Neurospora crassa OR74A: one gene and its partner. The protein of the gene in region 2 purifies or fractionates together with the protein of the main gene of each other region. This does not show direct contact. Links are inferred from orthologs where the notes say so. Each region holds a gene or a part of one and is shown on either strand. Other genes may lie near its edges.

Evidence for each region.
Region 1: the proteins of NCU03853 (region 2) and pyr-3 purify together in Saccharomyces cerevisiae (affinity purification with mass spectrometry; 5 studies listed by BioGRID, with this or other methods). This does not show direct contact. The link is inferred for Neurospora crassa OR74A from reciprocal best matches to the Saccharomyces cerevisiae genes CPR6 and URA2.

The regions. Positions count from the first base shown.
Region 1 is NC_026504.1:2,538,897-2,545,655, forward strand, and holds the start of pyr-3 (pyrABCN), read right to left. Parts: upstream 4,477-6,759; 5' UTR 3,978-4,476; coding exon 3,371-3,977; intron 3,312-3,370; coding exon 1-3,311. UniProt on the Saccharomyces cerevisiae protein: Multifunctional protein that encodes the first 2 enzymatic activities of the de novo pyrimidine pathway: carbamoylphosphate synthetase (CPSase; EC 6.3.5.5) and aspartate transcarbamylase (ATCase; EC 2.1.3.2).
Region 2 is NC_026506.1:1,890,396-1,897,149, forward strand, and holds NCU03853 (peptidyl-prolyl cis-trans isomerase), read right to left. Parts: upstream 4,804-6,754; 5' UTR 4,577-4,803; intron 4,425-4,576; 5' UTR 4,360-4,424; coding exon 3,999-4,359; intron 3,924-3,998; coding exon 3,157-3,923; 3' UTR 2,463-3,156; downstream 1-2,462. Other genes in the region: NCU03852 (GTPase activating protein), read left to right, coding at 1-2,462; NCU03854 (D-tyrosyl-tRNA(Tyr) deacylase), read right to left, coding at 5,261-5,437, 5,493-5,686, 5,744-5,786, 5,854-6,032, 6,104-6,218. UniProt on the Saccharomyces cerevisiae protein: PPIases accelerate the folding of proteins. It catalyzes the cis-trans isomerization of proline imidic peptide bonds in oligopeptides.

The DNA of each region.
Region 1 (6,759 bases), on a different chromosome or scaffold from region 2:
AGGACGATCGATGGCGGGGTACTCTACGAAAGGCAGACCCATGATAGCCTTGGTGGCCATCTCGATCAGATCAACTCCCATAACCTTGGAGACGAAGGGGAAAGAGCGCGAAGCGCGAACGTTGCACTCAATCACCTTGATGTCGTTGTCCTTGGCGATGAACTGGATGTTGAAGGGGCCGGTAACGTTGAGAGCGGCACCGATCTTGCGAGTGGCTTCCTCGATGCGCTGGATAGTGGTCTGCTCCAGATCCTGAGGCGGCAGGATAAGGGTTGCATCACCAGAGTGAACACCGGCGTTCTCAACGTGTTCAGAAATGAAATGTCCAACAACCTTTCCATCCTTGGCCACAGCGTCCATCTCGATTTCCTTGGCGTTCTCGATGTACTTGGTAATGACGACAGGGTGCTCAGGAGAGACATCGGCAGCCTGCTGAAGGTAGGACTCAAGATCGGCCTCGGAGTAGACAGTGTTCATGGCAGCGCCAGAAAGCACATAGGAAGGTCTGACCAGCACCGGGTACGATACCTTCTGGCAGAAGGCCTTCGCCTCATCGAAGCTGGTAAGTTCCTTCCAAGTCGGCTGGTCGACACCGATACGGTCAAGCATGCGGGAGAACTTGTAGCGGTTCTCGGCAGTGTCAATCATCTCAGGAGAAGTACCCAGAACTCTGACGCCAGCACGAAGAAGGGGCAGAGCAATGTTGTTGGGGGTTTGGCCACCCATAGCTCCCAACACTCCGGTTGCGTCCTCCATCTGATAGACGTCCAGAACGGTCTCCAGGTTGATGTTCTCGAAGTACAGCTTGTCGGCTTCATCATAGTCGGTACTGACGGTCTCAGGGTTGTAGTTCACCATGATGGTCTTGAAGCCAGACTCGCGGAGCGTGCGAATGGCCCGAACGGAACACCAATCAAATTCGACGGAAGAACCAATGCGGTACACACCCGAACCAAGAACCATGACACCACGGTCTTCGAACGAAACATCGTGCTCGCTGGCGTTGTAGGTCAGATACAGGTAGTTGGTGAAGGCAGGGAATTCAGCGGCGACGGTGTCGATCTGCTTGACGAAAGGAGTGATTCCTGCCTCAAGACGCATGCGACGAATAGCTAGCTCGTTGGAATCCCAGAAGTTGGCAAGCTGACGGTCGCAGAAGCCAAGCTGCTTCGCGCGAAGGAGCAGATCAGGACGACCAACAACATCGTTAGCCGTGAGTTTGGTCATGTCCTTGGCGAAATTGCTCAGGCCCTTGAGCTTGGACAAGAACCACTTGTCGATCTTGGTCAATTCCCAGATTCTGTCGACAGTGTAGCCCGCGTGCATGGCGTTGGCAATGGCGAATAGACGCTGGTCAGAGGGGGTCTGGAGCTCGTCGTCGACGGACATGAGCGCACCCTTGGACTCGCTGAAGCCAAGGTTGTGGAAATCGATGGCACGAATAGCCTTCTGGATGGCCTCTTCAAATGTCCTGCCGATGCTCATGACCTCGCCGACACTCTTCATGGAAGAGCCGAGCTGAGTGGAGACGCGGGTGAACTTCTTCAAATCCCAACGAGGCATCTTGACCACAACATAATCCAGAGAAGGCTCGAAGCAAGCGCAGGTCACCTTGGTAACGGTGTTCTTAATCTCCTTCAGAGGAATACCGAGACCCAACTTGGCAGCAATGAAAGCCAAGGGGTATCCGGTAGCCTTGGAAGCCAAGGCCGAGGAACGCGACAATCTGGCATTGACTTCGATAATGCAGTACTCCCTGGAGAAGGGGTTCAGAGCATACTGGATGTTACACTCGCCGACAACTCCAAGATGGCGAATGACGTTGACAGCAGTAGTGCGAAGCATGTTGTAGTCTTCATCGGAAAGCGTCTGGGAAGGCGCGACGACAATGGAATCGCCGGTATGAATGCCAAGAGGATCGAAGTTCTCCATGTTGCACACAGTGATACAGTTGTCCTGGGCGTCACGAACAACCTCGTACTCGATCTCCTTCCAGCCCTTCATACTGCGCTCGACAAGAACCTGGGGACTGGCTGCCAGCGCCTTGTTGCACAGGTCAACGAGCTCAGCTTCGTTGTTGGCGAAGCCACTGCCGAGACCACCAAGAGCGTAGGCTGCACGAACAATAACCGGGTAACCAATGTCCTTGACCGCGTTGAGGGCCTCCTCAACACTGCTGGCCGAAGCGGACTTGGCACACTTCTCACCAATGGACTCCATGCTGCGAGCAAAGAGCTCACGGTCCTCCGTGGTGATGATGGTATCAATGGGGGTACCGAGAACCTTGACACCAAGAGCCTCAAACTCATCCTTGAGCTGGATACCGACCGAGAGAGCGGTTTGGCCACCAAAGGTGCAGTAGATGGCATCGGGCTGTTCGTACTTGATAACTTTCCGGACGAACTCGGCGTTTACTGGCAAGAAGTAGACCTTGTCGGCCAAGCCCTTGGAGGTCTGAATGGTGGCAATGTTGGGGTTGATGAGGACAGTGTAGATACCTTCTTCCTTCAAAGCCTTGATGGCCTGAGATCCCGAGTAGTCGAATTCACCAGCCTGACCGATGCTGAGACCACCACTGCCCAAGACGAGGACCTTCTTGACATCGACACGGGGGTGGAGTCTCTCATTCTCCTCAGTGGTTCCACCGGGGAATTCGACACCCTTCTGGAGGAGAGTGTTATCGGTAGTGCACTTGGCAACAGTCTGAATGAAGACATCAAAGAGGAACTCGGTGTCGCGGGGGCCGGGGGTGCTCTCAGGGTGGAACTGGACACTGAAGTGGGGGCGGTCGACGTGCATGATACCCTCGTTGCTGCCATCATTGGCGTTGATGAACAGCTCCTGCCATCCGGTGGGGAGAGTGGTAGCGTCAACAGCATAACCGTGGTTCTGCGAGGTGATATGGCACTTTCCGGTGACCATGCTGGTGCAAGGAATGTTGTGGCCACGGTTACCGAACTTGAGCTTGACCGTCTTGGCACCGGCAGCACGAGCGAGCAGCTGGTGACCCAAGCAGATACCGAAGATGGGTGTGTTGTTCTTCTGCAGGGCGGCAGAGATGTGCTCGACAGTGGTGTCCATGACCTTCGGGTCACCAGGACCGTTGGAGATGAACAGACCATCATATTCTTCCTTTGAGAAATCGTAGTCCCATGGGCAAACGAGGACTTCGACACCGCGCTTGATGAAGCACCTGAGTTGGTTGTACTTCATGCCGACATCGAGGCAGAGAATACGAAGGTTGCGACCCGAGGGGTGCTTGAGGGCAGTGGCCTCATCGGGCTTGTAGAGCTTGGGCTCCTTGATCGAGACTGAAAGTAGCGTGTTAGAAATGGCCTGTCCATCTTAGCGGAGGGCAAATGTTGCTTACCTTCGGCAACGAGGTTCTTCTCGTTGGGGTTAACCCATTCGATAGTCTCGAAGTGAGGCTTCCAGTCGCCAGGAACTCCGAGAGAAGGAGCGCTGACAGCCAAGTCTTCCTTCTGGAGGAGCATGCGACCAAGCATGCTACCCTTCTCGCGGATGCGCTTGGTGAGGGCGCGGGTATCGACACCGTACATGGCAGGGATGCCCTGCTCCTTGAGCCATGTTCCAAGGGACGAGGTGGCGAGGAAGTGCGAGAAGTCTTCGCCAGCATAAGAGGCGGTAACGAGACCGGCAATGTGAATCTGGTTGGACTCGAAGTGGGCGGGGAGATCCTTAAGCAGATCATCGACGGTCTCCCGCGAGGGGACGCCATAGTTTCCAACAAGAGGGAAGGTAATGACGAGAATCTGACCGCGGTACGAAGGATCGGTCACGGACTCAGGGTAGCCGACCATGCCGGTCTGGAAGACAAGCTCGCCGGCAATGCTCTTGGGCGCACCAAAGCTGTAGCCTTGGTAGGCAGAGCCATCCTCAAGCTCCAGGCAAACAAGGCCTTCGCAAGGCGCATCGGCGATGGGGGCCGTGGCGGGGCGGTAGACGGTGGCAGCCATGATGGAAACAGGTGAACTTTTAGAGTATAAACAAAAAAGAGAGAAAAATGACTATGGTAAGAAGGGTATAGTGGAAAAGAAAAGAGTAGTGAAAAAGCGGCACAGAATCGAGAATGGAAGACGGTGGTTGAGAGGACGTCAAAGATGGTGAGAGCTTCGTCAAGAAGAGCTCAGGAGCTGATTCGTTTTCGTTGGGGGATGAACAGCGAGAAACGGGCAAGGTTATGTTGGTGAATGTGTATGTTTCAGCTGGATATCCTCACTATCCAAGCTCGATATGGCCTCTGCTTGATAGCAAGAGGAAGAGAGAGAGGAGAGGAGAGGAAGAGAAAGGATCCCAGGACTCGACCACGGGGTAAATATTTTTTTTTTTTGTCTTGTTTCGGCAGCCTCGAGGAGCCCCGCCAGTCCGTCAGCCCGCCACGCTGTGCCCGTAATTGGGTTGGGGACAGACGGCCTGGGCGACGGAGCGAGGCGAGTGGGATTCAGAAAAGTTTTCCGTTATTCACGCCATTGTCCAATGCCGTCTTCGGTGGCTCGTGAGAACCTGGAGGGGCGGGTCCAGCGGGAGTTGGCAGGGCCGGCAGCGCCGCAGGACCGCGCGGGCGACACCTGCACATCCGGCAGGCAAAGATTTAGCGCGGGGCAGCGGGGGTCCCCTGAACACTGAACGACCGTCTTGGAGGGGGCCCCAGACGATTCAAGCTTGCATCGCCTGCCAAGTTCGTCTAGAGCCAAAGCCGAAAACCAATGATATTACAGGTGAAGAGAATTAAGTGGGGGGGTTTGTCAAAGACCCTGTACCGTGGGTCGCCCAGGACAAAATCTTGATGACACCCGGACCCGGGTTCAGATTTTGACCTTGGACCCGGCGAAAGGCTGAGCGGCTTAAACGTACACTAAAAGACACCATGACTATACGTACTGCATAGTAGATGCGTTGAGCCGATACCACAAAGACTACACAACTGCATAGACAATGAAGGCGCCGTCGCTGAGCATTCAATACAATGAAAGTTCCTGATTTGCGTGGTGTAAGACTGAGTTTGGTGGTGTTTTGGGTGCTGGACTCAGGTGTCATCAATCTTGTCGTGTGCGACCGTGGGTACCATCACCACCACAAAAATCCATGTCAACAAGTGCTGTCCCCTGTCACCAATCCGGGGCCCGTCCGTCCAGGTGTCCGGCATTTTCGCCGTCCCTATTTTGTCACTGCCGATCGGTCGTCTTCGACTACGTACCATCATTATTAGGACCGATGCGATGCCGTGAGGCCCGTGACGGCAGGAGAGGACCGGCAGAGTTGCAGCATGTTGTCACAATCACCATCCGATGTTCGATGTTGATATGTTCGCTAAAATTTCAGCATTGGCAGAAACCATCTTTTTTGCTTGCCCTACATGATACATATGCAGTGTACGCAGTATGCATCTGGTTGTCCTCGCCAAAATCGTGATGGGGTAAACTCCACCTCTGCAGGGATAGAAATGGTTAGCTCGGTTCTTGCGAGTGGCAAAGAACCTTAATTTTTTGCACAGGAAATGGCTCTCCTACCGTCTGCCTGCTCCCTGTTTCTTGTTCGATCGTCGTACCAAGCTAACCTTTTGTATCCCTACAGAAGAGGTGAACAAAATGGGCTTCTGCTGATCGAAGCGAGGTTTTCCTCTTACGTACGCCAACCAGCCATCTGTGGGGTGATGGAGCAGCGGTATCGCTTGCTCTTTGGGGCTCGTCAGAGTCATCGTTCGCATCGGGTCCGGTTGTCGGGATCTTAACACCGATCTCAACCGTCCCGTAGCCCTCACTTCCCTCACGGGCCGAAGTCTTCTGGCGGCGGGCGCTCACCATAGCCCACGCAGTGCGTGTTGGTGTCAGTTGCTGACTGTATATCGAGACTTGAGAGCTTCATGTACCTCTGTGTTTGCAATATAACGGGACGTACACTGTGAGGAAACGGATAAGCAACTGGGTTGATGGAGTCAAGTCTCCGAGTCATACAGCATGCCAAAGGATTTGCAAGAGTGCGGAATTCCAAAGATCATGTTCCGCTCCAAGTATGTTGAGTTTGTGCTTCGGGTCTTGGCCGGTGCCATCATCTCACTGTATGCACCACCACCCGGAAAGTCCGCCAGGGAAAATGGGCCATCCGGCTCGGAGTGGGTCTTGTTTTCGCCGGGTAAGGACCGGTCTGCTCGGGATTGTAAGCTCTTACAAGTACTGGTAACCCTGTAATTAGCGATCAGAGGTATAACGATATTCTGTCTATAACGTTCAGATTATGGGGAACAGTGCAGATTTGTATGGCGATAATATGGTAATAACGATTAACCTCTAATTTACGATTTAAATTAAGATTATTGCTGACTAATACACTAAAATCGTTATTTTTACAACCGTCTGATAGCTCCCGCCAGCTCCCAACACCTACTAATAGGAGTGTTAACCCCTTAATAGCCGATACGTTTTACCCTCTGGAAGCTAGTACTGGTTAGTATACTCCGCCCAGCCGTTTCGTCCCTCTTGTTAATTTACTTAAATTACTATATTTTGAAGTTATTTGTTTACTCTTACGATTAGAAACGAGCCCTCTTTTATGTTAGATTTCGAGATTAATATTATGCTTATTTAAAGAAACTATTGTTGTTACCCTATTAACGAGCTTCAACGTCAAAAGATTCGTGTGTTTATTTACGATAATCCTAAATATACTTAACGCGAGGTTGTTGTATGGGTTACTAAAGAATTAGGCTACCTTGTTAGTTAGTCTACTATATCCGAATTT
Region 2 (6,754 bases):
TGGAGTCTAGGCTGCTTTTCGAGGCTTGGTTCGCCCTTCTCAGAGCCTTTGCGGTGCCTGATCTATACGGGCTCGATTCAACAAGCCGAGGACGTGTATACGAGGTGACCAACCTCAGCTCAGTGCCCAAAGGAGAAGTTTTCAGAGTCGAAAAAACAGTCAAGGTTAGAGTCACCGAGGCAAGGCTACGGAGTCGAACATTTGCTCAAGAGGGAAACCTGATGGAGCGCCAAAACAAAAGTGTTGCAGACCCAGACCCTGCCGTCGGTAATTACTTCGCCGAGGTCATACTGGATGGCGAGGTTCGAGGCCGGACATCAATCAAATTCAACACCAAGAACCCCTTTTGGCGAGAGGATTGCGAATTTACGGATCTTCCTCCCTCCTTACCTTACCTATCGGTGGTTCTAAAACGGATCGTGGGCAATACCGAAAGCTTCAGTCACCAGCTTCAGGCCACTCTTGGCTTGCCCAAAACAGGCCAGCTGAGCGAGGCGTTGTGCGGTGCTGTCGACATCCCTTTGCATCTTCTGGAGCGTGGAAAAGATCATGAGCAGTGGCTCCAAGTGTATGACGCACGACAGCAGTCGATTGGAACAATGCTTCTCAAGGTGCACCATGAAGAGGTCGTCGTGTTGCAATCCAGAGAATATCAGCCTCTCTCGGAGCTCCTACACCGCTTTGGGTCAGGGCTGACGACACAAATAGCTGACGTGATGCCTGGAAACCTACGGAAGCTCGCAGAAATATTCGTCAATATATTCCAGGTTTCTGGAAAGGCAACAGAGTGGCTGGTGACCTTGGTAGAGGAAGAAATTGACGCGATAGGGAGCCAAACGGCCAGCAAGCAATCGCGGTTCAACCAGCGGCTGATGTCAAATGACTCGATCGCTTCCACGGACAAAATGTGGCAGACGGTTCAGGACATGAGCAGGACGCTCCCGGGCGAGGCGAGCTTGCTGTTCAGGGGAAACTCATTGTTGACACAGGCCTTTGAAATTTACATGCGACGCTTAGGCAAAGAATATCTGGAGGAGACTCTGGCAGCAAAGATACGTGAAATCAACGAGCTCGACCTTGATTGCGAAGTTGACCCGAGTAGGATGCAGAACGGCGATGATATTCAACAACATTGGGCGAAGCTAATCGAGCTGACCAGCGCTGTCTGGCGCTGTATCGCATCGTCCGCGCATCGTTTGCCGTCGGAGATCCGTCACGTACTGAAATATATACGGGCTGTTGCAGAGGATCGCTATGGCCACTTTATCCGCACTGCTACTGCAGTTTATACTTCGGTGTCCGGATTTCTCTTCCTCCGCTTCCTCTGCCCAGCTATCCTTAACCCAAAACTTTTCGGCCTCTTGCGCGACCACCCCAAACCGCGTGCACAACGCACTCTGACTCTCATCGCCAAGACCATCCAGGCTCTAGCCAACCTTAACATCTCCAGCAAGAAGGAGACATGGATGGAGCCAATGACCGAGTTTCTCCAAAAACAGCGCCAGCCATTCAAGGATTTTGCTGACGCCGTGTGCGCCATTCCGGCCGAAAGTACCAGCAACAGCGTGCCTGCTCCCTACTCGACCCCCCTAACGATTCTGGGCCGCTTATCACCTCTAGCTCGCGAGGGTTTCCCTTCGCTCCCATACCTGGTCGATCATGCGCGTAACTTTGCGGCTTTAGCCAAACTGTGGGCTAAAGTCCATCCCGAGTCAGACTGGGACTCTTCCAACTGCGAAGGCGACCTACTTCATTTCCATCGTCTATGCACCACGCTCCACCAACGCGCAATGCATTGCTTCTCGCAGATGGAGACTCGCCGAAGCGCTGGTGAAACTACCAGCAGGCCACCGGATGAGCGGCTTCGTCTCTCTGATGCACTGGACAACTTGAGTTATGGCGATGTCCTCGGTTTGTCTGCGCACGGCAACGCTACTGGGATCTTTTGGATAGACGGCGGGAGCATAGCGCCCGGCTCCTCAGGTAGTGAGATGGATGGGCCTGGTATGGGAGGTGGCAGCAGCAGCAGCATTGGCAGCAGGGACATAAGGAACGCCTCGAGCGCTATACGGCAAGGTTCTAAGAGCAGCGAGCAGCTGTCGTCCATGTCGGGCGGAAGTGTGAAGGGGCTGCGCAATGGAATGCAGGCACCACGAAAGTTCCTTACAGGATTTATTCGCAAGACAAGAACGGCTTCACCCGAGTTTGGCAACGGAGGTAGTCCTGGTCACGGGTTCATCACGGGGACAATGGTGCCTGAAGCAGGCAGTACGTCGGCAGTTGCATCGGCATCTGCCACTGCTGCAGGTAAAGAGAATGGCCGAGAGCGGGACCGAGGCGCGGAACGAGAGAAAGACAGTAAAGAAAAGCATCCAGGCAAAGACGCCAGGGCGTCTTCAAGTAAATCCCAAGGGGATCGCCATCACACGGCTCACCAACACTGGCACGAGAAGGGAATTTGAAATGACTTGATTTAGAGGCACCAATGGTTGTTGGCACATGCTCGCTTTGGAAGGCTTTGGAAACCCTGGTCTGAGAATGGGGGCAACGGCTCCCGTACAAAGGGACGTACATTGACGATTATGCCTACGATATGGAATGCGAGTCTTCAGACAGGGTATCAGACTGAGCGCTCATTCTTTTCTCTATTCTTCCGCAAATAATTCTTGTTTAGCTGTTTGATTATTGTCTTTAGCAACGATCATGATGGTTATGGCCCATTCTCTGAGGGCATGCTGGCTATTGACATGGCGGACTATCCGGCAGCACCAACCGCCGAATCCGTACCTATGCCTCCAGATCTGAATCCGAGGGGTCGAGGTTTTCTGCTGTTGCTGGGGATGCGTCACGGAGGAAAACTGCTGTGCCTACAAAAGCGGCGAAGTGGCCTAAAAAAACATTCTATTCCGTGAGGCTGTGAAGACTCTGGTGACTGCTCGAAACACACTGCCTTCAAGAGTCCATGTTCCAGCCTTGACACAGCTTGAACTCCCCAAACGCCAATGTGGATATCATTAGGTGTTGTATGTAATTGGACCTTGGTGCCAACCCGCTCAATGCCGATAACTCCTTTTGTAGATACCCTCTAACCCGAGGAGCACTTCAACCACACACAAACGTTCGAAATAATTTCAAGTCGCCATTGCCTCAACTTGATCAGGAGAAGAACTTTTTGTAGGCAGCCTTTTCCTTCGCCATTCTAGCCGCGGCAGCCTTCTTGACAGCGGCCAGCTCGTTAACAATGGCGCCATCTTCAGGCGCTAGCTTCTTGGCCTCCTCCAGACTCGTCAGGGCGCTGTCCTCGTCCTTGATGCGCACCTGGGCGTAACCCCTACGGTATAGAGCCTTGGCCCTGTCCTTGTCTGAGATAGTGGCAACAGCAAGTGCGCCGTCGGCGCTGCGAATGCACTCGTCCCAAGCGCTCAGCTTCATGTTCATGAGAGCCGCGTTGCTGTTCAGCGAGACGCGCAGGGCGTCCAGCTTTTGCTTTGTGTCAGCCGGCTCATTGTCAAGCTCGGGATCCTCGTTCAGATAGCGCAGACCCTTCTGGTATTTGTCGAGGGCCACAGGGAGGTCGCCGGCCTTGAAAGCCTTGTTACCAAAGTCCTTGCAGTCTGTCGCAATCTTGAGGATCTTGGAGGCAGAGAGAGGCTGGCCGTCAGTGGCTTCGTCTTCGGGGAAGTCCTCGTATTCGTCGCCGTAGGCGTCGGCAGTCTTTGTGTCAGCGCTCACAGCAGCGTCGCCACTAAGCTCGCCGCAGTCGGCAATGACGGCGTCCTTGGTCGGCTTGTCGCCCTGAGTTTTCAGGTTCTCAATTTGTCTGACGACTGACTTGCCGCTCAGCACCTCGCCAAAGACGACGTGTTTGCCATCGAGATGTGGGGTAGGAACGGTGGTGACGAAGAACTGAGAGCCGTTGGTACCTGCAGGACATAAGCGTCAGTAAAAGACCGGAACCGCAAAGTGATGGCCGTCAGTTAAACGACATCGCAACATACCGGGTCCAGCGTTGGCCATGGACAGGAGGAATGGACGGTCGTGCTTCAACTGGAAATTTTCGTCCTCGAACTTTGCGCCGTAGATGGACTCGCCACCAGTGCCGTTTCCAGCGGTGAAGTCACCACCCTGGATCATGAACTGCTTGATGACACGGTGGAACGTGGAACCCTTGTAGTGTAGCGGCTTGCCCAACTTGCCAACACCCTTCTCGCCGGTGCACAAAGCGCGGAAGTTCTCGGCCGTCTTAGGGACAATGTCATTGTAAAGCTCGAAAACAATACGGCCGGCTGCCTTCCCGCCGATGGTGATGTCGAAAAAGACGCGGCTGCGAGCCTGCTTGACGTCGTCGGTAGAAGACATGGTTGGCTTGAATCTAGGAATCAGTATTTCAAGAGATCTTGCTACGAGTCTAAGCTGTACGTAAACTAAACGAGCTCAGTTAGCATATATAGCTCAGACAACTACGGTGGAAGGAAATTGTTTGTCCATGGCACAAATCGTAAACAGGGAGGGAAGATGGCAAACAATTTGGGAGTCGTGATGTCCACAGAGCGAGCGCAAATAGAAGCTTACTTACCTGTCCGAACCAGCTACTATTCTGACTATGACGGAGGAAATGGGTTTATAGGCGGACAATATATAGTACAACTGCACGTTGCGAACAAGACTGCACAGAGAAAGGGCGTCTGGTAGACTGGTTGAAATACAAAGTATGGGAGTCGCTTTCGGTGATGATTTCGTCTCAGGGTTCAACAAGCTGGGTGCAGGGCGGGGTGAATTGGTTTCGTGAACATTCGAGAATGGTGGGGCAGCGATGTGCTTTAGCTCCCGTCCCATTTCCCTCTTCTCGTCTGATATCCACTTTGTACCCAAAGATACCTGATTCCACTCGCCAAGGCATACAAGTACGGAGTAGGTACTTTACTTGCAGCGGCAGCGGCTAAAGCAGCCGAGGCTCCACCAGTAGTATCTTCAAGATGCAACCCGTAGGGGTCCATACCCGACACCATGTAGTGTAAAGGCAGATGCCGCAGTGTAGAGATTAGAGCGGGAAGGGTACCTCTACATCTCTTGTGGGCTGTGGCATCGAAGAAGAACAGCGACATGCGGCAAGTACACTGGTCCGAGCACACTTTTACAACCCAACTATCAACCTCTAGTCTAAACTCTACGTCTAGCAGATCATCTTTTCCGGCTCTACATTTGGCAATTACATCGACCCTTCTTAGGTCCATCTCGCAATCCTCAACCACTCTATCACCTAGACTTGATTAGTCAAGCCAGGCACCTTGTCTGCCGTCGCTTGGTCGTCTTCCACGGCCCCTTGTTGTGGCTGCTTTTGCTGCTTCTGGTTAAGCTTTTGGTCTTCCTTCTTCTTCTTCTTCTGCTGCTGCTGCTGCTGCTGCGCTGCCGGCGTGGCCGATACCTCGAGGGTGACCTACTGTCAAGTTAATACGGCCCTTGGCGTACTAGTGCAGTGTTGGATTGCTCACCGGTCCATCATTAACCAGGGCAACCTGCATCATAGCCTGGAAAACACCGTTTTTAACCTTTTCTGCTTTATAGCCTTCCTGAACCTTCTTGTAAAACAGGTCATACAAGGTCTTGGCCTCATCGGGGCCTAGGGCTCCGTGGAAGTCGGGCTTGCTGCCCTTCTTGGTGGAAGCAAGCAAGGTGAACTGAGAGACTACATCATGTTAGTCTTGCAGTGAGAGTCTGGCCAACCCGGCAAGATATCACCCACCACACAATACCTCGCCGCCGATGTCTTGGACATTCTTCTTCCACTGTGATTTGCCGGCCGTTAGAAATAGTTCCCTCAGTCCATGCGTATTGTGTGAGCAAGTGTCGTACCCGGCCTCCTGATTCATCATCCCACAGCTTCAACTTGATTACTTTGGATGCCAAAGCCTCAGCCTCCTTTACCGTGTCGCCGGGAGCAACAGCCGCCAAAACGAGAATGCCTTGGCCAATAGAGGAAACCAATTGGTTGTCGACCGTGACAGAGGCTGAGAGCACGCGCTGGAGAATTGCTGCATGTGCCACGTTAGTCATTTATGCATGCAATGAACAACTTGAGAGACGGGAGTTTGGCTATATGCACCCTTCATTTTCCGGTTTTCTGTTTCGACGTGAATGGAACGATTAGCTGGTGAATTCTCGATCGATAAATATGCAAAGATCCATGAGGTGAAGACTCGGTCTTTCAATGCCTCCATCTCGGCGAACAGCGCTCCCGTCCCGTCTCCATAAAAATGGCCTTGAAGAACCAGCGCTGCTGCAGAGTGCTTCAATACCAGGTGACTACAGCGCCTGCCTGCCCGCTGGGTGTCTACCTCCAGGGGGTAGAAGTACCCTTGCCCCCGCCGGGCACCTTCCATACCTCTACGTTGTGCACTATTACAGTTCTGGCAGTAGTGTGCTACCTTCCATTTTTACAGCCAGAACAGGAAGAGAGGCCCAAGGGAGGCCCCCCCCAAACAGTTCTGTATCATAGTACACCTACGGACAGGGCAGGCAGACCTACAGTGGGCAGTAATACCCAAGGTCAGTACCAGCCTCGGCAGGATCGCCATACCTCTCTCTCTACCTATCATCTTTCTTCGCCGAATCTGCAAAACCAGTGCAAACCTCCGGTCCTGATTCTCTCCCAAACCACAAATCCATCTCGGATCATTTATCGACGACGACGACGCCGACCACACGAGGCAATCACCAAACTGGGGATCGCCATCGAGCACCACCTACATCACAT